Linked DNA regions of Macaca fascicularis. The protein of the gene in region 1 interacts with the protein of each later gene in a biochemical or structural test. Links are inferred from orthologs where the notes say so. Each region holds a gene or a part of one and is shown on either strand. Other genes may lie near its edges. The genes, in order: PTPRC, LCK and CSK.

The links.
Region 2: of the proteins of PTPRC (region 1) and LCK, one has a biochemical effect on the other in vitro, tested with the Homo sapiens proteins (5 studies listed by BioGRID and IntAct, with this or other methods). The link is inferred for Macaca fascicularis from reciprocal best matches to the Homo sapiens genes PTPRC and LCK.
Region 3: of the proteins of PTPRC (region 1) and CSK, one has a biochemical effect on the other in vitro, tested with the Homo sapiens proteins (2 studies listed by IntAct). The link is inferred for Macaca fascicularis from reciprocal best matches to the Homo sapiens genes PTPRC and CSK.

The regions. Positions count from the first base shown.
Region 1 is NC_088375.1:56,452,739-56,459,932, forward strand, and holds part of PTPRC (receptor-type tyrosine-protein phosphatase C), read left to right. Parts: intron 1-1,707; coding exon 1,708-1,816; intron 1,817-2,127; exon of another isoform or gene 2,128-2,232; intron 2,233-2,504; coding exon 2,505-2,539; intron 2,540-5,001; coding exon 5,002-5,111; intron 5,112-5,665; coding exon 5,666-5,756; intron 5,757-5,846; coding exon 5,847-5,923; intron 5,924-7,194. UniProt on the Homo sapiens protein: Protein tyrosine-protein phosphatase required for T-cell activation through the antigen receptor. Acts as a positive regulator of T-cell coactivation upon binding to DPP4.
Region 2 is NC_088375.1:202,751,766-202,758,959, forward strand, and holds part of LCK (tyrosine-protein kinase Lck), read right to left. Parts: intron 2,326-7,194; exon of another isoform or gene 2,268-2,325; coding exon of another isoform or gene 2,239-2,267; exon of another isoform or gene 2,219-2,238; 5' UTR 2,198-2,218; coding exon 2,033-2,197; intron 1,816-2,032; coding exon 1,469-1,815; intron 1,239-1,468; coding exon 1,140-1,238; intron 998-1,139; coding exon 894-997; intron 541-893; coding exon 391-540; intron 118-390; coding exon 1-117. UniProt on the Homo sapiens protein: Non-receptor tyrosine-protein kinase that plays an essential role in the selection and maturation of developing T-cells in the thymus and in the function of mature T-cells. Plays a key role in T-cell antigen receptor (TCR)-linked signal transduction pathways.
Region 3 is NC_088381.1:51,920,476-51,926,832, reverse strand, and holds the end of CSK (tyrosine-protein kinase CSK), read right to left. Parts: intron 6,293-6,357; coding exon 6,179-6,292; intron 6,082-6,178; coding exon 5,969-6,081; intron 5,635-5,968; coding exon 5,415-5,634; intron 4,477-5,414; coding exon 4,383-4,476; intron 4,206-4,382; coding exon 4,140-4,205; intron 4,062-4,139; coding exon 3,962-4,061; intron 3,873-3,961; coding exon 3,782-3,872; intron 3,357-3,781; coding exon 3,283-3,356; intron 3,184-3,282; coding exon 2,988-3,183; intron 2,881-2,987; coding exon 2,794-2,880; intron 2,546-2,793; coding exon 2,363-2,545; 3' UTR 1,704-2,362; downstream 1-1,703. UniProt on the Homo sapiens protein: Non-receptor tyrosine-protein kinase that plays an important role in the regulation of cell growth, differentiation, migration and immune response.

The DNA.
Region 1 (7,194 bases):
CCTATTTGTATGAGTTCCCAGTTACAGAAATTTTGATCATGAGATGAACTGTTTCTGGCAGCTGTTTGCTTGGTAGAGTCATTTCCATCTTTCCAGTTGTGGAAGAACTGTCTCATGCTCAAGGCCTCCACTCACCATACATAAAATACGTCCCCTCTACTTCCTTATCACCCTACTTATTTTTTTCAGACTATATGAAAAAATACATAATTATTTCATTTGTTCACTTACCTTTCTTTTTTCTTTTCTTTTTTGACAGAGTCTTGCTCTGTCGCCCAGGTTGGAGTGCAGTGGTGCAATCTTGGCTCACTGCAACCTCTGCCTCCTGGGTTCAAGTAATTCTCATGTCTTAGCCTCCAAAGTAGTTGGCATTACAGACACACACCATGCCCAGCTAATTTTTTTGTATATTTAGTAGAGATGAGGTTTCACCATGTTGGCCAGTTCGCTCTGAAACTCCTGGCCTCAAGTGATCCACCCACCTCAACCTCCCAAAGTGCTGGGGTTACAGGGGTAAGACACTGTGCTTGTCTGTTCAGTTACCTTTCTGGTGTCTGTTTCCCCCAAAGAGAATGCAAATTTCCTGAAAACTAATATTTTTTTCTGCCTTATATTCTGTAGCATTTCCACAGACTGTCTTCCTTTTTATCTTCACAGTCCTTCTTATCTTCTAACCTATTTCACCATTTACTTATTTCTTCTGTTTATTATTAATTATCTATTTTTCTTCACTAGAGAGTAAGTTCTATGAGAACAGGACTCTTGTTTTTCTTTTTGTAGATATCCTAAGTGCCTAGAGCTGAATTTGGCAGACGACCAAAGGCCAAAAATATTTTTTGTGAATAGTGAATAATTAGTGCTTACTACGTCCCAGCCACCGTGCTACGTGTTTACTGTGAATCAACACCTTTAGTCACATTTTAGGATTTTGGGAAAGGAGGGACAAAGATAATAAGAAATCTGGCCAAGTTCCCAACTAAGAAGTGGTAGAGCTAGGGTTGGAAGCTAAGCAGTCTGGCTCTGGAGCTGAGGCTCTTAAGTCACCGCATTATTTTGCTGCATTTTCACTACATAAGAAAAGGTGAATATACTGGAGATATTTCCAACACACCCTCTCTTCTATGCCCTTTCCTTAGGAAAAGGCAGGATTTCACATTAAACTTAGTGAATATTTAAGTCAGGGTAAGTCTTATCCTAACTACAGAATGAAACCATTTTTGTCTCTTGAATTGATTTTACACCTCAATGAACAGGTAAGAGGGTTTATCTTTGTGAAGTAGAAGTCTTTCTCATCCCCTTAAGAGACTACCCTCTTCTGCATACGAAGTTAAACTATATGAGTTTGTCTCCAAAAATTATAATAACTGGATTACCTCCTTGATCCCTTCAAACTGAAGTGTCTGGAAAAAAGAGAATTAAATTTAAATGTGTCTTATAAAAGAACTTTATTTAATCAAGAGAAAGAGAATTGTTCTTCTCTTCTTACTCTCCTTAAATATAAAATGTTTTTATTGGTTCTAAACAATATGGCCAAAATCACAGAATTAGAACTTTATTGTATTTGACCTTATTCTAAAATGTTTATTTTTTCAAACCTCACAATAAATTGAAAAATATTAAAATGTAAATACTTTGGAGGTGATTATTCAACCAGTCTAGCAAGTTGTTTGACAATGGTTCTCTGAATGTATTATTTTTCATTTCTAGATAATTCTAAGGCACTGATAGCATTTCTGGCATTTCTGATTATTGTGACATCAATAGCCCTACTTGTTGTTCTCTATAAAATCTATGATCTACATAAGAAAAGATCCTGGTAAGAGTTGATTATGAATTTTCAAATAATAATGGTAGTAGTAATGGTGCAAACACATATCCATATGGCAGTGAGGGAACCAGTTAAATGAAATACATGAACTAGAGAGAAGACAGCATAAAGCCCACTTCATGACGGAACTTTTAATCAAAAACTTTTAGTATGGTTTTATTGGTTTGAATTAAACATTAATGTTATTTTCCTAATTTACTAATAATATTGTGGACTTGTTTAATAATAACCAGTGAAAAGAACGTGTGTGTTTTTTAGTACAAAGTGGGTCAGAGGGATCTAGGAGTGACGAAAGCAAAAGAAAGGAGGTAGATGTCTGGGGAAGTTAATGTGTTTCGTTGGCCAGAAACAACCACATCTTATGAAAAACAGAAGATTTAAAATAAAATCATTTGGCTACTTATGTGAGTTTAGCAAACAAGTCTTGGTTGTTTCTTTTCCTCCCTCACCCTCCTCTCTCCTCTCTGACTCTCCTCTCTCCCATCCTTCTGTCCTCCCTTTGCTCCAGGCTCTCTTCCTGCCTTCCCTCCTTTCCTCTTCTCCTTTCCTCTCTTCTCCTTTTCTTCTCCCTGACTTCCTTCCTTTCCCTTCAATGTATTCATTAAATATAAGTTAAATACCAACTGAATTCTGTGCTTCTTGAGAATATAGAAACTTATTTTTCCTGTTTTCACAGCAATTTGGATGAACAACAGGAGCTTGTTGAAAGGGGTAAGTATGCATATTTTTTGCTGATGAATATTCCTTCCCCTGCATTTGAATCCATTCATTTTATTTCATTTATTTATTTATATTTATTTTAAGACAGAGTCTCATTCTGTCGCCCAGGCTGAAGTGTGGTGGTGTAATCTCTGCTTACTGCAGCCTCTGCCTCCAGGTTCAAGCAATTCTCTTGTGCCTCAGCTTCCCAAGTATCTGGGATTACAGACACAAAGCACCAGGCCCAGCTAATTTTTGTATTTTTAGTAGAGATGGGATATCACCATGTTGCCCATACTGGTTTCGAACTCCTGGCCTCAAGTAATCCGCCCACCTTGGCCTCCCAAAGTGCTGGGATTACAGGCATGAACCACTGTGCCCAGTCCCATTCATTTTAAATAAGAACCGGGCATTTTTAATTTAACTTGGACTTCTGTTGATACAGTGATAAAACTTAAATTCCTTTACTCACTCAGCACCTGTGAAGTTCCCAGTGTACGCCAAGCATTGTGCCAGGTACTGAGAGTACTACAGTGACAGGCACAGACTCTGCCCTTAAAGGGTTTGTAATCTAATAGAGGAAAGCAGATATATCAAGAAATACGACGGTAATTTGATACATGCCCTAGTAGTTGAATGTGTATGATTCTATACATATATAGAAGATAGAAAACTGTGTGCGAGGGCGGAAATCTGGTCTGTTAAGATTGTGGGGAACCAATGGACCAACAAATTAGGGAGTGGTGGAGGGAAGAGTGGATGGAAGTCACAGAGATGGGGAGATGGTACATCTCCTCAAGTCCCTGCCGGGGTGGAATGCTGGCTGCTCCCACTAAAGACGCATTTATGGACAGGATAAAGAACAGCAATTTTACTTAGGAGAAGAAAACAAATTTGTTTATCTTTTTTTTCAACATTTATATTATTTAATTTTTTTAAAATGTGATTTCTAATCCAATAAAAAGGGACAAAGTTGAACCTTTGCAGAAATTGAACTTTTGTTTACAATAAAGAAATTTACTTGCTTTCTCATGCTTAAGACAGGAATAATTTCAGAAGTCCTTTGTGTTAATCTGTGTTAGAAGTGTTTCCCTCTGGTAATAGCAGGTACCAGGTCTCTATGCAGAAACTTTAGGGTTGAATCTTTTGTGCTCCTTAAAAGGCTTTATTTTTATTTGCAGAATGTAACACTATCTGACCCCTTATTACATATTTATTCATTTGGTTGTTGATTATACTCCCCTAACTAGAATGTAAGCTTTGTGAAAGCATGGAGGCTTTTTTTCTTATTTACTGCTTTATGCCCAGTACCAAAGTGAGTATCTAGGATTTGATAAATATTAGTGAATAAATAACACTGAGATAGGGTATCCTGAGGATTCATTTTCATAAGCTGAGGGAGGAATGAAGAGCACAATCAGTAATAAACACCTGAGCAGAAAAGGAAAATCCATCTCAAGGAGTTAAGGTGGACTTGGAAAGTGTCAATGAAATATTTTATCTCAAAATTGATTCTGATTGCACCTTGGAATGCAGTAGAATTTACTCATTCAGACCCCATGAAACCCTGAATGTGGCCCTCAGTTCAGAATGAATGAATACCAGGCATTCCCAACAACCTAAAGAAACAATTGCATATAGCCAGTTTGATAGCTGTGATTGGATAGAAAGTTTCCATGGGTAGTAAGACAAATGGGTTGCCCTCATGGATACCTTTTTTCTTTATCTGTTAAATGGGTAAAATTAATATGATTACTGAAAGAAATACTATCAGTAGTACATGGAAGAGTGGGAGAAACATACTTTTTATATATGTGACAGATTAAATTATCTTACCTTTCTAAAGGGTTTGGTTTTCAAGTTCCATATGCAATTATAGCTTTTTATGGTTAGTATACTTTTACTATTTAGTAAGTTATTTCACAAACATAGTATATCATGTGTTTCATGTACTTGAAGCAAAACGAATTAACACAACTGTTTCACCGTTTAGTGTAAACAGATGATCAAATTAAGCTGTGTCATGGGTATAAGGGTATTAATCATATTGTCTTATTTCATTTGCATGTTTACAGCATTTTACAAGTTGAAAATGAAAACAATACAAAGAAAAATAATAATTGTATTATAAATAAATAAGTATGGCAATTGCTATAAAATACATATTATCAAACAAATGTGAATGTCCTTATAATGGTGATGTTTAGTCTGGCATCCCTTCTCTAAGCATAGAAAATGGGGAAGAACATTCTGGTAGAGGGAACAATATAAAGCCCGGAAGAGATCTGAAGTACAAGATTGAGCAGTCATTGATTTGTAGGTAAATGTTTGGATGTGAGTGAGATTTCTCAGATGAAATGTATACGAAGAGGAAAGAAGCTAAAGGATTGAGTACACGGTGTAAATTTAATGAAATGTGTATGCCCACCTGAAAGACACATATAACTAGTACTGAATCTTTAATATGTTTCCAGATGATGAAAAACAACTGATGAATGTGGAGCCAATCCATGCAGATATTTTGTTGGAAACTTATAAGAGGAAGATTGCTGATGAAGGAAGACTTTTTCTGGCTGAATTTCAGGTGTGTGTTGCTTTTGTTATATGATAAATTCAACATCAAGACAATTCCACTTTAAATGTATTTATATTGCAATTTGCCTTCATAATTTATCCCACTTGATATTGCAACATAAGCAAAATAGATATTATTAGCAGATATCTATGAACCAGAAGGAGACTCATAGAGGTTGACGAGATTATAGTGTGGAGCTAGTAAATATTTCAATGTAATGCTTTATTGTATTATGAAGTTGTGTCACAAAATGTATTTGGCTGATTTTGTAGTTGTACTCTAGGTACTCATCCAAGTATCTGTTTTTAAATGAATTTGATAGTGACACAACAACTAATCCTAAATTTGTCCCTACTCAAGAGATTTGTTCTGAAAGTTGTCAATCATTAATTTTTTTTAAAAAAGTGATTTTATTTTTACATAATTCCTGATCTTAATTTCAATTACTCTAAGCAAATTTTTTTTAGCAATATGAGGAAAATGTTTTACAGGATATCTCATTTGCTCAAAACGATCATTTTTCCTGAATCTTCTGTGATCCAAGAAATCATTGTTTCTTTCAGAGCATCCCGCGGGTGTTCAGCAAGTTTCCTATAAAGGAAGCTCGAAAGCCCTTTAACCAGAATAAAAACCGTTATGTTGACATTCTTCCTTGTGAGTACTTACCGAGTATTGAATTCCCATATATTTAGGCCACTTGATTATTCATTATTTTACTTGTTTATTTTTCTTTTCCTTAAACAGATGATTATAACCGTGTTGAACTCTCTGAGATAAATGGAGATGCAGGGTCAAACTACATAAATGCCAGCTATATTGATGTGAGTAAAAATTTGCATTTTTCCTTTTTTTTTTTTTTTTTGAGACGGAGTCTCGCTCTGTCGCCCAGGCTGGAGTGCACTGGCGTGATCTCGGCTCACTGCAAGCTCCACCTCCCGGGCTCACGCCATTCTCCTGCCTCAGCCTCCCGAGCAGCTGGGACTACAGGCGCCCGCCACCGCGCCCAGCTAATTTTTTGTATTTTTAGTAGGGACGGGGTTTCACCGTGGTCTCGATCTCCTGATCTCCTGACCTTGTGATCCGCCTGCCTCGGCCTCCCAAAGTGCTGGGATTACAGGCGTGAGCCACCGCGCCCGGCCAAAATTTGCATTTTTCTTATTCCTGTATATTTCATTCAGCTCCTTCTTTGTCTCGGCAAAATTTTAGAAATATTATTAAAAATATTTTGAAGTGAGCCCATATGTCACTGATAAAAACAGAAAATTATTAATATTTGCAAGGATATTTATTATGTGACTATTGGTATTGGGTATAACAGAATTTTCCTCTACAAACAAAATTATATTAAGAATTAATTTAATGTACTCTGGTACCTCTTGTGTGCTAGATATTAGACTAAATAATCTATACATGTATTTCTCAAAAGAAGCCCACATTTGCCTCAGCCATGTGCCATATAAGTGAGGACTGGAAGGCTCAGTTTAGTTAATTACCTTGTCCTTGTTCACACAACTGGTAAATACTTGAGTTGAAATTCAACCAGAGTCTGACTGACTCCAAAATGTTATCCGTTAATTTAATCATACTAAATTTCAGCAGACACTCCTCATCAACACAGATCATCTGTCCACTGGATTTATGCAGAAATGTAAATGTCTGTACGTGGTTAATTTATTTAAAATATCTTAAAATTTAATTTATTATACAAATGTTAAATAATTAATCCATTATATAGGTTAAATAATTTTAAACAGTATAAAAATATATACAGACTGAAAAAATCTTTTTTTCTCCCCAAATCTGCCATTTTCCCAGTGTCCTCACCTACCAGAAGCAACTATATTTTCTATTCAAATATATATGGTAATTATGGTATCAGGTTACTTATGTTTCTCCATTGGAACTTGGAGCTCCCAGAAAGCATATGTCTTCTGCTTTTAGATAGGTGATTAACATATTGTAGCTATTCAATAAATACTTATTAAGTAAATGAATGTATGCGCAATACTGTGTCATGAGATAGAAGTTTCAGGAAGTTACTTAAATTAATGTTGAATTCTTGTGACCCATGTTTCAAATTTAATCCAATGGT
Region 2 (7,194 bases), about 150 Mb from region 1:
GCTCCACCAGCTTCAGCGTCTCCCTGGGAACCTCCCACTCGTCCTCCCACCATGGCTTCTGGGGCTTCTGGGTCTGGCAGGGGCGGCTCAGCCGTGTGCACAGCCCATCTGAAGCATCTGCGAGGACAAGGGAGGGGTGAAGACTGTCAATATGGCAGGCCTCGTATTGACACCACTTCCCCCACTTCTCCAAGCTCCTATCTAGGTGAAGTGGACTAGCAGGGGGGTGTGGGGCTGTCACCCAAACACTTGGGTCCGTAGGGTCAAGTTCCACACCTCACCCACTGCGGGGAATGGAGGAGCGCATTGAAAGATGGATGGGGGACACCCGAGGGGGACTGAGGGGAGATAGGCTGATAGGGCACGGGGGAGGGGTCCTGCCGGGCTCACTGGTGTAATGGCGGACCAGTTCATGCAGGCCGGGAAAAGTGATTCGGGGGGAGATGTAGAAGCCACCGTTGTCCAGATTACGGATTTTGTAATGTTTCACCACCTCTCCCTGGTTCTGGTCGAAGTCCCGGACCGACAGTGAAAACGATCCTGAATGAATGAATGGATGGACAAAGGGACTAAAGAACGCAGTGAGTCTGGCCCGCCACCGCGCCCCCCTCGGGCTCACCCCGCGTCCCCACCTCGGGCTCACCCTGCGCTCCCCCTCGGACTCACCCCGTGTCCCCATCGGGCTCACTCCGCGTCCCCACCTCGACCTCACCCTGCGCTCCCCCTCGGACTCACCCCGCGTCCCCATCGGGCTCACTCCGCGTCCCCACCTCGGGCTCACCCTGTGCTTCCCCTCGGACTCACCCCGCGCCCCCCTCGGGCTCATCCCGCGCCCCCACCTCGGGCACACCCTGCGGCACCCCCGCGCCCGGTCGAGACCACTGCCCGCTCACCCGCGGTGCTCTCGCTCTCCCGGATGAGGAAGGAGCCGTGAGTGTTCCCGGGCGCCAGGAGCTGCCGCTCCGCGTCCTTGCGGCTCAGGTTCTTGAAGAACCAGCTGTGCACGGCGGAAGCGAACGAAGGCTGTCGTCGGATATTCCTCCGTGGCCCTCAAGCCTTCACCGCCACCCCAGGCCCACTCCCTGCTCCAGGATCCCTAGATCTGCTCCCGCTCACCCCCACGACGGGTCCCCACTTACGGTTCGGGCTCCAGGCTGTTCGCCTTGGCCACAAAATTGAAGGGGATGAAGCCTTCCTGGCCTGTGGTCAGGGACTGCGCCTTCCACCACTCGCCGCTCCTGCGCCACGGAGGCGGATCAGTGTGGCTAGCTCAGCCGTCGACCTGAGACCCTCCCTCAAAGACCCCTCCACCCCTTAAGCCAGCCTCGCCGAACCCTGGCTCAGCAGTCCTGAGCCTTGAATTTTGTCCCAAGGGCGGCCACCCCAACCGGTGGCCTCAGGAGGGCTGCGGTCCCGGAGATCGCGCTCCCTCACGGACTCCTCCAGAGCAAGGTGGAGAGGGACTCACTGCTCCAGGATGCGGAGCTGCTCCCCCTTCTCAAAGCCCAGGTCTCCGTCGTGAGAGGGCTCATAGCTGTGCAGGGCGATAACCAGGTTGTCTGTAAAAACAAGGGGCATCAGGGAGAACCGGGCTGGGATGGGCAGAAAGCCTGGAGTTACAGGGCGGGGGACAAGGAAGGCAGGACCGGGGAGAGAGTAGGTGGGGGTGAGGTGGAAGCCAACAGCCAGGGATCGGCAGGCCTTGTCTTTCAGGCCCTGCTGCCTGGGGTCACCTTGCAGTGGGGAGGCCGGCGGATTGGAGCCTTCGTAGGTGACCAGTGGGTCCCGCACCTCAGAGCCATTTCTGATGAGCAGCTGTGGAGTAGGGGATGAGGGTGGGGTCAGAAAGCAGAAGACTGGGTTAGACTCTGGCCCCCTTCCCCCCTGCCCTGCTCTCAGTCTCTCCAGCCTGGTTGGGTGTATCCCTGAGTCTACCAGCTACTTGCTGTGTGATCTTAGGAGAGTCATTTCTTTCTCCTGGGTTGCATGCTCTACCCAACTCCCTCACCAAGGCCCCTGTCTCGCCTCTTACCGTGCCCTTGCCATCCAGTGGGACTATGGGATAATGGCAGTTCTCACACACATCGATGTTTTCCATCCAGTCATCTTCCGGGTGTGAGCTGCAGCCACAGCCCATGGTCCCTGAGGGAATGGAGAGGGGGCTGAAGGGGCTCCCCCAAGATCTGCTCCCCAACATCAGACATCATGGGGCCTTGCCCTGGAAAGTTCCAAAAGTACCTGAGATTGTGAGATCTTGGGATCTCCATTCACCAGCCACAGAAAAGCTAAAAGAGGGGGTCCCAGCTCCAAACCGTTGCTCCCTCTGAGCCCTCAGGCTGCAAGTAAATTCACACACGGCCCCTGAGCTCTAGCCCCACCCTCCCACCTGGGATGGGCAAACCGCCACAGGCACCTTTGTTAGTCTAGTTACCCACTTCCTGCCTCTGCCCCCTCCCTCTCCCTCTGCCGGCACCCTGTGTTGGGAGGACCACCTCCTAGAGATGACACACACTTTCCCAAGCCTGGGGGAGACCTGACTTATCAGACCCTCCCCTACTGGAGAGGTGTGCACGCCCCACCTACTATTATAATTCCCCTGTCTAGCTGAGGAGGCTGAGAAAGAGGCTTCTGCTCCCTAAGTCCACCATCAGGACCCCGCTGTTCCTCTCACATAGCCCCACAGTCACCTCACAGGGTTCCTTCAAACACAGGCGTGCTTCTCCCCAGCAGAAAACCCTCCAGTCAGTCTGTTGGCCATAACTTTTTTTTGTCGCTTATTTGCCTGTGTTAGCACTGGAAATTTTTTGTCTGATGAAATCAAGCAGAACTCCATAGATAAAGCGATAAGTGTGTGGGCCTGTTTTGTCTGAAGCAGAATGGGGCCCTCACTTTGAAGCCCCCGGAGTCCCTGCAGCTCCTCCTTGTCTAGGGCTGCTCCTCAGAGCGGTTGGAAAGCGCTGTCCTCAAATAAAGTTTGATGTACCGTGCATTCCAGAACTTCAAGATCAAATCCACCTTCGCAGTCCATTCTGCTACACACACACTCTCTCACACACACACACTCACACACACCCTATATATACACACACCCTACACACACACACACAGAGGCACCCCCATCCCACCTCCACAGAGGCATCCACACACACTTTCACATACACACACACTCACCCCTCACAGGTACCCCCCCACACTCACACACAGACTCACCCTCCCACACACAGGCACCCACACTCACACTCAATAAACACATACTCTCACCCCCCAAAAGTGCCCCCCCACACACACAGGCACCCACCCTCACACACACACATTCACACACACACTCTACACATATTCCCCACACACACAGGCACCCACACCCACAAACACACACTCATCCACACACCCACACAGTCACACCCACAAACACACCCACATACACACACACACACAGGCACCCACACCCACACACATGACCCCCACACACACATTCATACACACACACAGGCACCTCCACATACCCACACCCATGCACACACCCACACACTCACCCCCACATACACTCACACACATGCACAGGCATCTCCTCCATACATACCCCCACACACCCACACTCACACACACAAACACACCCACACACAGGCACCCCCACACACACCTCCACACACAGCCTGTGTTCTGAACTATTCTTGCCTTTCCCAGACACCCCATGCTATTTTCTTTTTTTTCTTTTTTTTTTTGAGATGGAGTCTCACCGTGTCGCCCAGGCTGGAGTGCAGTGGCCGGATCTCAGCTCACTGCAAGCTCCACCTCCCGGGTTTACGCCATTCTCCTGCCTCAGCCTCCCGAGTAGCTGGGACTACAGGCGCCTGCCACCTCGCCCAGCTAGTTTTTTGTATTTTTTAGTAGAGACGGGGTTTCACCGTGTTAGCCAGGATGTTCTCAATCTCCTGACCTCGTGATCCGCCCGTCTCGGCTTCTCGAAGTGCTAGGATTACAGGCTTGAGCCACCGCACCCGGCCGCTATTTTCTTACTTAATGCCTTTGTACTTGTGGATCCCTCTGCTGTGAAATGTGCCCTCTTTCTCTCTCTCTTTCTCTCTCTCTCTCGAGACAGGGTCCCCCTTCCTTGCCCAGGCTGAAGTGCAGTCGTGCAATCCCCTTAGACCCCCTGGGCTCAAGCAGTCTTCCCACCTCAACCTCCCCAGCAGCTAAGACTAAAGGTGCACACCATCATGCCCAGCTGATTACTTTTTTGTAGAGATGAGGTCTCACTATGTTGCCCAGTCTGGTCTCGAACTCCTGGGCTCAAGCAATCCTCCTGCATTGGCCTCCCAAAATGCTAGGATTATAGGCATGCACCACTGAACCCAGTCGGCATGCTCTCTTTTGTCCACCTGCTGAATTCTAACTCAACCTTCAAGGCTCAGTTCAAATATTACCCTTTTTTTTTTTTTTTCCTGCAACTTCTACCTTCCAGGTTCAAACAATTCTCCTCCCTCAGCCTCCTGATAGCTGGGATCACAGGCATGCACCATCATGCTTGGCTAACTTGTAATTTTAGTAGAGGCAGGGTTTCACCATGTTGGCCAGGCTGGTCTTGAACTCCTGGCCTCAAGCAATCCTCCTGCCTCAGCCTCCCAAAGTGTTGGGATTACAGGAACCTAGCCTAAATATCACCTAGTCTGTGAAGACTTCCCAATGGTCTTTGCTTCCCTCTCACCCCAGTCTCTTGCAACATTCTATTCAGACCTCAATAATCAACTTAGGCACAGAGTTCCACGATTACTGATTCACGTGTCACCCCAAGGTCCCACTGCCTCTCCCATACCTTTGATGAGAGTGGGGGTTCATCAAGAGCAGAAACTGTAGTTTATTCGTCTGAAAGCCTCCAGCACCCAAAATTAGTTAATAAATGTCAACTGGAACGTGGAGTGTTAATGCACAGAGTCTCCCATCTGCAAAGGTCTTAGAAACCAGCAAGCCTAATCTCCAATTTTACTATTTGTTGATCTATTTTTGAGATAATGTCTCACTTTTTTGCCCTGACTGCAGTGCAATGACCCAATCCTAACTCACTGAAAACTCAAACTCCTGGGCTCAAGTGATCCTCTAACCTCAGCCTCCTGGGTAGCTGGCACCACTGAGCCCAGGTGATTTTTTGTTTGTTCTAGAGATGGGGGTATTGCTATGTTGCTCGGACTGGTCTCAAACTCCTGGCCTCAAGTGATCCTTCCTCCTTGGCCTCCCAAAGTGCTGGGATTACAGGCATGAGCTGCTATACCTGGCTAAACCTCTGATTTTAGATGAGCAAACTGAGGCCCACAGAGGTATGCTTAAAGTCACACAACCTATTTGGAGTAGAGCAAACCTGGAGTTGCTGGCTGGGCGTGGTGGCTCACATCTGTAATCCCAGCACTTTGGGAGACTGAGGCAGTAGGATCATTCAAACTCAGAAGTTCCAGACTAGCCTGGGCAACATAGTGAGACCTCACCTCTAGAAAAAAATCAAAAAATTAGCCAGGTGTGGTGGTGCACGCCTGTACTTCCAGCTACTCGGGAGGCTGAGGCAAAAGATCACTTGAGCCCAGGAGCTCAAGAGTGCGATGAGCTATGATTGTGCCACTGCACTCCAGCACTCCAGCCTGGATAACAGAGCGAGAACCTGTCTAAAAAAAAAAAAGGCTGGACTTGGTGGCTCACACCTGTAATCCTAGCACTTTGAGAGGCCAAGGTGGGCAGATCACAAGAGATCAAGACCATCCTGGCCAACATGGTGAAACCCTGTCTCTACTAAAAATACAAAAATTAATTGGGCATGGTGGTGGGTGCCTGTAATCTCAGCTACTCAGGAGGCTGAGGCAGGAGAATAATTTGAACCCGCGAGGCGGAGGTTGCAGTGAGCCAGGATTGTGCCACTGCACTCCAGCCTGGCAACAAAGCGAGACTCCATCTCAGAAAAAAAAAAAAAAAAAAAAAAAAAAGCAGGCTGGGCACGGTGGCTCATGCCTGTAATCCCAGCACTTTGGGAGGCTGAGGCGGGTGGAGCACGAGGTCAGGTGTTCAAGATCAGCCTGACCAACATGGTGAAACCCTATCTCTACTAAAAATACAAAAATTAATCAGTTGTGGTGGCGTGCACCTATAATCCCAGCTACTCAGGAGGCTGAGGCAGGAGAATCACTTGAACCCGGGAGGCAGAGGTTGCAGTGAGCCAAGATCACGCCACTGCATTCCAGCATGGACAACAGAGCGAGACTCTGTCTCAAAAAAAAAAAGCAGGCTGGGCACGGTGGCTCATGCCTGTAATCCCAGCACTTTGGGAGGCCAAGGTGGGTGAATCACCTGGAGTCAGAAGTTCAAGACGACCAGCCTGGCCAACATGGTGAAACCCCGTCTCTACTAAAAATACAAAAATTAGCTGGGTGTGGTGGCGCGCTTCTGTAATCCCAGCTACTCAAGAGGCTGGGGCAGGAGAATTGCTTGAACCAGGGAGGTGGAGGTTGCAGTGAGCCAAAATCACGCCATTGCACTCCAGCCTAGGTGACAGAGCAAGACACCATCTCAAAAAAAAAAAAAAAAAAAAAAAATAGAATCTTCCTCCGAGCTGCTGTACCTGGCCAAATCTTTGATTAAAATTTAAACTTGAGGCCAGGTGCAGTGACTCACATCTGTAATCCCAGCACTTTGGGAGGCTGAGGAGAGAGGATTGATTGAGCCCAGGAGTTTGAGACCAGCCTGGACAATGTGGTGTGGCCCTTCCTCTATTTAAATTGTTTTTTAACTTGAAAATAAGAAAATTTGCATCTAAATGAGGTAGCTTAGTAGGTAAAAACTTTAAAATCATGAGATCCATGTGGGGAAGAGGGTGTGCAGAACAGGAAATGGTAAAAGACACCTTGTCTTCACAAGAGTTTAGGAAACACTAATACAGTTCACCAGCCTCATTTTAAAACTAGGGAAGGCTGGGCGCGGTGGCTCACGCCTGTAATCCCAGCACTTATAGGAGGCTGAGGCGGGTGGATTACGAGGTCGGGAGATCGAGACCATCCTGGCTAACACAGTGAAACCCCGTCTCTACTACAGAATACAAAAAATTAGCCGGGCGTAGTGGCAAGCGCCTATAGTCCCAGCTACTCGGGAGGCTGAGGCAGGAGAATGGCGTGAATCCAGGAGGCGGAGGTTGCAGTGAGCCGAGATTGTGCCACTGCA
Region 3 (6,357 bases), on another chromosome or scaffold:
GCCAAGGTGGTGGATCACTTGAGGTCAGGAGTTTGAGACCAGCCTGGGCAACACGGTGAAACCCCGTTTCCACTAAAAATACAAAAATTAGCCAGGCTGTGGTGGCGCATGCCTGTTGTAATCCCAGTAACTTGGGAGGCTGAGGTAGGACAATCGCTTGAACCCAGGAGATGGAGGTTGCAGTGAGCTGAGATGGCACCACTGTACTCCAGCCTGGGTGACAGAGTGAGACTTCATTTAAAAAAAAAAAAAGATTATCTGACATGTCACCCTCCTGATGAAACTTGTCGTTGGCTTCCCATTATTCTGTTTGATAAAAGCCAAGTCTTTGCCACAGCCACAGTCTCACCTCTCAGGCCTGGCTGTTTGTACATCCTCACCCACCTTCTTGGAGATCTGACAAAGCTGCCCTCCGTCCAGTCTCAGCATTTCTTCCTGGAATGCTGCTAACTCCTGCCGTACAACCTGTTCATTCCGCTTCAGATCTCAGCTTAAATGCTGCTTCTTTCCAGAAGCCCTCCCTGATCTACAAAGATTCCCATGTTTTGTGTTCCTCCTGTAGCACTTAAGTTTGTCACCGCCTATATGTGACTATTTGATTGTCTTCCCAACTGTGGACTCCACAGGGTGTGTTTTGCTTACTGATGAACCCCAGTCCTAGCAAACAGTAGGTATTCAAATATTTGTTGTTGAATGAATGGTGTAGTTTTAGAAAAATTAGTCTGGCAGTGTGCAGAGAAGATGGAGTGGAGGTGGCAAGGAGGCTGTTGCACTGGGCCAGGAGAGATCATGGTGGATGGAACTACAGCGGGGCTGAGGAACAGACACAAGGTAGACTTCAAAGTCAGATCTCCCTGGATTTCAGGTCCTGTTGGCTGGTAGAGGAAGCGTCAGGGCCACAAAAGGACAAGGGGAACACCCCACCTGCCTGCCTCAGGGAATACATGAAGCCTCCTCACACCTTCAGAGGTTCTGTACTGACCACTGCCCCTGGACAACCTGAGTGAGGGGAGAAAATCTCATGGCTGGTCCACATTCCCTGTATGTGCCCTGACAAGGTGGGGTGGGGAGTGAGTCCCCCTGACTGGAAGGTGCCAAGATTTCCCCTCTGCCCTGCATCCTCAGCCCCTGCCAAGTCTGGTATGACATAAGGCCTGGCACATGGCAGGGGTGGGGACAGGGCAAAGCTGTGACATCATGGGTAAAAGTAGAGAACCACCAGGAGCTTTCTTGTACCCCTCCGGGTCAGCATCTTCTCAGGCATAAGACGCTTCTCTTCCTACCAGAGGAAGCCCACTGGGCCCACCATTGCTTTTTCTCTCTCTCGCACAGGGGGCTTGACTAGAATCCCGTTCCCATCTGTGCAGGCCTGGGCTCCCTCCCATCCCTGGCTCTAGCCCTCCTTGTGCTGCAGGCTTGAACAACACACCAGGGGAGGCAGCTGGAACCCCCAGGCAGCATCCTGTGGACGGGGCTCCAGAGCTGGGCTCGGCGGTAGCTGGACAGTGGGGCGGGTGGTGAGCACTTCCCCGAGGGCAAACACAGGACACTCACTCGTGCAGCTGACACAAAGCGGCGGCTACATCTCCCGGCCATGCTCCCCACCCAGCCCCACTCACAGAGACAGGGGGATGGACAAGATGGCATGGGAGGGACGACCGGGCAGGACAGGCAGGCTCGGTGGAGGAAGCGCCGAGGCGGGCGGCGGTGTCCTCATGGCGTGGTTTATTACGATTCCATCTCACAAGGCGGGTGGGCGGGTGGCAGCGGCACACGAAATCCAAGCCCCTGACAGACGTCTGCCTCGGGCGCATGCAAACAGTGCAACATGGTCAAGCGCAAACACGGGGCGACCGAGGAGACACGGGACATGGGACACGGAATGGGGAATGAGGCTGGGGCGAGGGGTCCCTAGAGAGGGGCCCGGTCCCCCCCACCCTCATGGGCAGGACAGGAAAAATAAGATTCGTACTTCTTGTAAAATGCCCATTTGCTGGGTACTTTCTTTCTCCTTATCTTGAAAAATAATAAAAAATAAACACACGGAAAAAAAATCTCAAAAAAGGAAAGGAATAAAACTCTTAAGAAGGCGAGCGGCGGGAGGCCAAGGAAGCCCGACGTGGTGGGGCACTGCCTCCCGCTCCGTGGCCTCCTTCCTCCCTGGCCCCTCAGTGGGCTCCCCAGGCCCCACACGTGGGTCCAAGAGAGACGGGGCCGGAGGGATGCAGGCTGGGACACAGGAAAAAGGCCCACCAGCCCGCTGGGGCTCAGTTCAGGCTCGGGCCCAGTGAGCAGGGGCACCAGGTCCATGATCTTCCAGGTTCAGTCCCCACAGGCCCATGACCCGGGCGGAGGCCAGCCGTCACAGGTGCAGCTCATGGGTTTTGATGTGCTCAAGCTGCTCTCGGAGCTGTAGGAAGGATGGCCGCATGGCGGCGTCCAGGTGCCAGCAGTTCTTCATGACCTCATAGACTGCGGGCGGGCAGCCATCGGGGGCATCCATCTTGTAGCCCTTCTCCACCCGAGGGACGACGTCCTTCAGGGGCTGTGGCCAGGAGGATGGCAGGAGTCAGTCCAGGGCCTGGCCCCAGAGAAGACATCTACCCAGCAGCCTCTCAGGGATGCCCATCAGCTCTGCCCCAGACCCAGGCCCGGAGAGTGGCCTGTGAGCTCCCCAGGGCAGGCCTGAGGCTTCCAGGCCTTGACTGGGGAGGCAGGGCCCAAGGAGGCTCATGCCCCTGCCAACCCCTTCGTTGCTCCAAGAGCCACCCTGATCCCAGTACCTATACTCACAATTCTTGGATAAGGCACTCGCCCAAAGGAGTAGATTTCCCAGAGAAGGATTCCGAAACTCCACACGTCAGACTTAGTGGAGAATTTCTGCCATGTGGATGGAAAAAGCAGCGTCAGATCCTGGGACTCTAGGGGTGGGGAGCGACCCAGGACTCCTGCCCACCTCTGTAGGCCCCAGGGGAGGCCTGCCCCACCTTCTCTCTCAGGGCCTCAGGGGCTGTCCACTTGACTGGCAGCTTGCCCGTGTCCTGGGTGCTGGACGCCTCCTTGGTGAGACCAAAGTCGCTGACCTTGGCCACGTTGTCCTCAGACACCAGCACGTTGCGGGCAGCCAGGTCTCGATGCACGAAGTTGTTGCCCTCCAGGTATTCCATGGCCTCGCAGACATCTCTGGGGGTAGGCCAGGCACACGTCCCCTCAGACTGGGGCCCCCATAGCAGGGCAGGGTACCCCTCAAACCCTACCCATCCAAGAGGCTGCTTCACTCACAGCGAGAACTTGAGGAGACAGTCTCCGCCCAGCACTGACCGACCCCGAGACCGCAGGTAGTCCACGAGGCTCCCCTGGGAGAAGGAAGGACAAACCAGGCCCAGAGTCAGATGTGCCCTGCAGCCCTCTCACACAGCAGGCTGGGGCCGGGTGGGTGTTGACACTCCAAGGAGGTGTGAGACAGGGAAGGAGTGGGGAGGGGCCAGGACATCCGTGCTGGACACTGCTCTGTGTTATTCCTGCCTTATCCCTTGACTCTCACAAATCTCTGAGATAAGCTGTTATTATCTCCATTTCCCAGATGTGATGCTGAGGCTTGGAGGTGACATGATTTGTCCAAGGTTACAGTCAATAAACTGTAAACCAGGACAAAAGCCCAGCCCTGGTGACCTCAAAGGTCACTTGGGGTCGGGGAACCGAGGGAGCAGGGGCCCCAGAGCACAGTGGGGGTTTCGGGGCAGTTGGAAAACCCGAGTGCCGGGTCTCAGCAGGTGCCCACCTTGGCCATGTACTCAGTGACGATGTAGAGCCCGCCCTTCTCCTCCACGATCACGCCCAGGAGCTGCACCAGGTTGCTATGCCGCAGTTGCCTGGGGCAGGACGAGAGTGGTCAGAAAGGGGAAGCCAGAGCCTCACTCCTAGCTTAGGCCAACCTCCCCCCTACCCTGCCCCAACTCACGTCATGACTGAAGCTTCAGCCAGGAAGGCCTGGGCGGTGGCGTCATTCTTAATGCACTTGACAGCGACTTTGTTCCCTCGGTAATCGCCCAGCATCACGTCTGGGGGCAGAGAGGTTGGCTTGTTCCCAAGTTCTGAGTCCCTTGGCGCCCCCCCTCAGGCAGCCCAGCCCAGCTCACCTCCGAACTCCCCCTTCCCAATGGTCTGCAGTAGCTTCAGCTCCTTCATGTTCAGGGCCCAGCCACCTGTGGGGAGGGGCCAGTGAGGGCCTGGAGGCTGCTAGGGACATGGCTGGGATGACAGAGGCTGACTGGACTATCAAGCACATGGGGTTCTCTGGAGGTTCCTGGATAAGGGCAGTGCCAGGAAGCCTGCGTGGGAGGAGGTGGGTGGGCAAGAGGTCTGGAGTGGGGTGTACTCACTGCGGTAGAACTCATCCTGGGCCGCCACCGTGCCCTCCATGACCTTTGGTTTAATGAGGCGCGTACAGAGTCCATCTGCGTCTGAGGTGTAGTGCTGCAGGGTGTGGGCGGCAGGGTGCTCAGAGACAGCCCAAGGTGCCCCATATGCACCGTCCAGGCCTGACCACCAGGGGGCGGCAGAGGCCGGCCCCGCCCAGCCTGGAGTCACTGAGTGGGGAGGGCTCCCCATTTCTGGTAGGGCAGGGGTTAGGGAAGTCCCGGATTATGACGTATGGCCCATTTCCCATGCCACCCTACATGTGGCTGCTGGACACTCAGCTGTTGCTACCACTCTGGACCCCACAGGTATCCAATGCAGAGGGCAACCCATGGCTCGGTCCTGACACCAGCCTCTAGCCAGGAGAGCCCAGGACCCCACCCTCACCTGCCACAGGCCAAGCCAGGCCAGCAGGGGAGGAAGATGAGAGTAAATACAGAGGGACACGGGAGGCTGTCTGTGGCTACCGGATGCCAGGTGTGGCCTGGCCAGGACTGGCAGAGCGGGCCTGGGAAGCTGCAGGGACCCGTGGGCATGTCCATGCAGGTTGCGAGAGCCTCAGGGGCCCTGGCGATCAAGGCACATGGCTCATGCTTCTGCGCACACTTCTGGGTATGCAGGTCTGTGAGTGGCTGGAGGAAAGTTAGCTCTGGGATCAGACAGACTCAGAATCCAGTCCTGGCACTAAATTATAGCTGTGTGACCTCAGGTGGGTCCCCTAACTGCTCTGAACCGTCGACTCCTGGTCTATAAAATGAGGATAAGGCTCCCCTCCTCGGGGTGGCACTGTGGGGTCAGAGGTGAGTCCTGGCACACAGCAGCTGCTCCACCAAGGTGTGAGGAAACGAGGGCTCACAGAAGTTGCCCCACATGCCTGGTCACCAGGCAGAAGCAGTGGGGCTGGAGCTAGAAGCCAGGGCTATGTGCAAAGGCCCCAGATGGGTTTAGGGTGTGTGAGGGTGGAAGTGAGGACCCACGGATACCCCCCAGCTCACCTCCACCAGCTGCATGAGATTCTCAAAGTACACCTCCTCGTCGATGCTGAGCTTGCTGGCATGGTACATGATGCGGTAGTGCTCCACCTTGCCGTCGCAGCTCACGCACAGCGTGTAGTCCCCAGGGTAGTTGGTGCTCTCCCGCACCAGGAACAGGCCTGTCTCCGGCGGGTACAGAAGCCGCTCAGCCTGCTCCCGTGTGATCTTGCCGTGGAACCAACTGGGGAGCAGCAGGGCCGGAGGTCACGGTGGCCCAAAGGTACTGACCCTGGCTCCCCTTTCTGAAGGGTTTCCCTCTGCTTGGCACCCGTGGCTCACACTCGCTCAGTCAGGCATTTGAGGCCCTCCTCTTCTGCTCCCTGTCCCTTCTTCGACACCCTCCTGCCTCTGCTCCCAGCCCTGCTCTGTGAGGTCCCGCACCCGTGCCCTATACCTCCCTCCTGAAGCCCTCCCCAACACCCCAGCCCCTCACTCTGGCCTCCCTGCTTGTTCCTGATGCTTCTCCAGGAGGACCAGGGCCCCTTCCCTCCCCAACCCCTCCTTGTAGTACTCACGGCATGAGGCTGAGTTTGGTACCCGCCTTCACGCCCTCCCGCTTCTGGACGTAGTTGGCTGGGATGATGCCCTCACGGCCCACCTTGTTTTTGGCTTTGTACCAGTTGGGGTCCTGGGGAGAGGGCAGCCCAGACATGCTCTCAGGCCCACCTCCCCCTGCAGAGGGAAGGCCCAGCAGTGAGAGGGTGGGGTGGGCGCCACCTGATTACCTTGGTGACGGCCACAATGGTGAGCACGTCTCCTTTGCAGAAAGGCAGGTCTTGCTCGGCGGTGCCGTGGAAGTTGTACTTGGCAATACATTCTGTACCGGATGGCCAGGAGGCCTGCAGGACAGGTGACAGGTGGGCAGGTGCAGCCTGGGACCCCTCCAGCCACCTGCCCGGACACC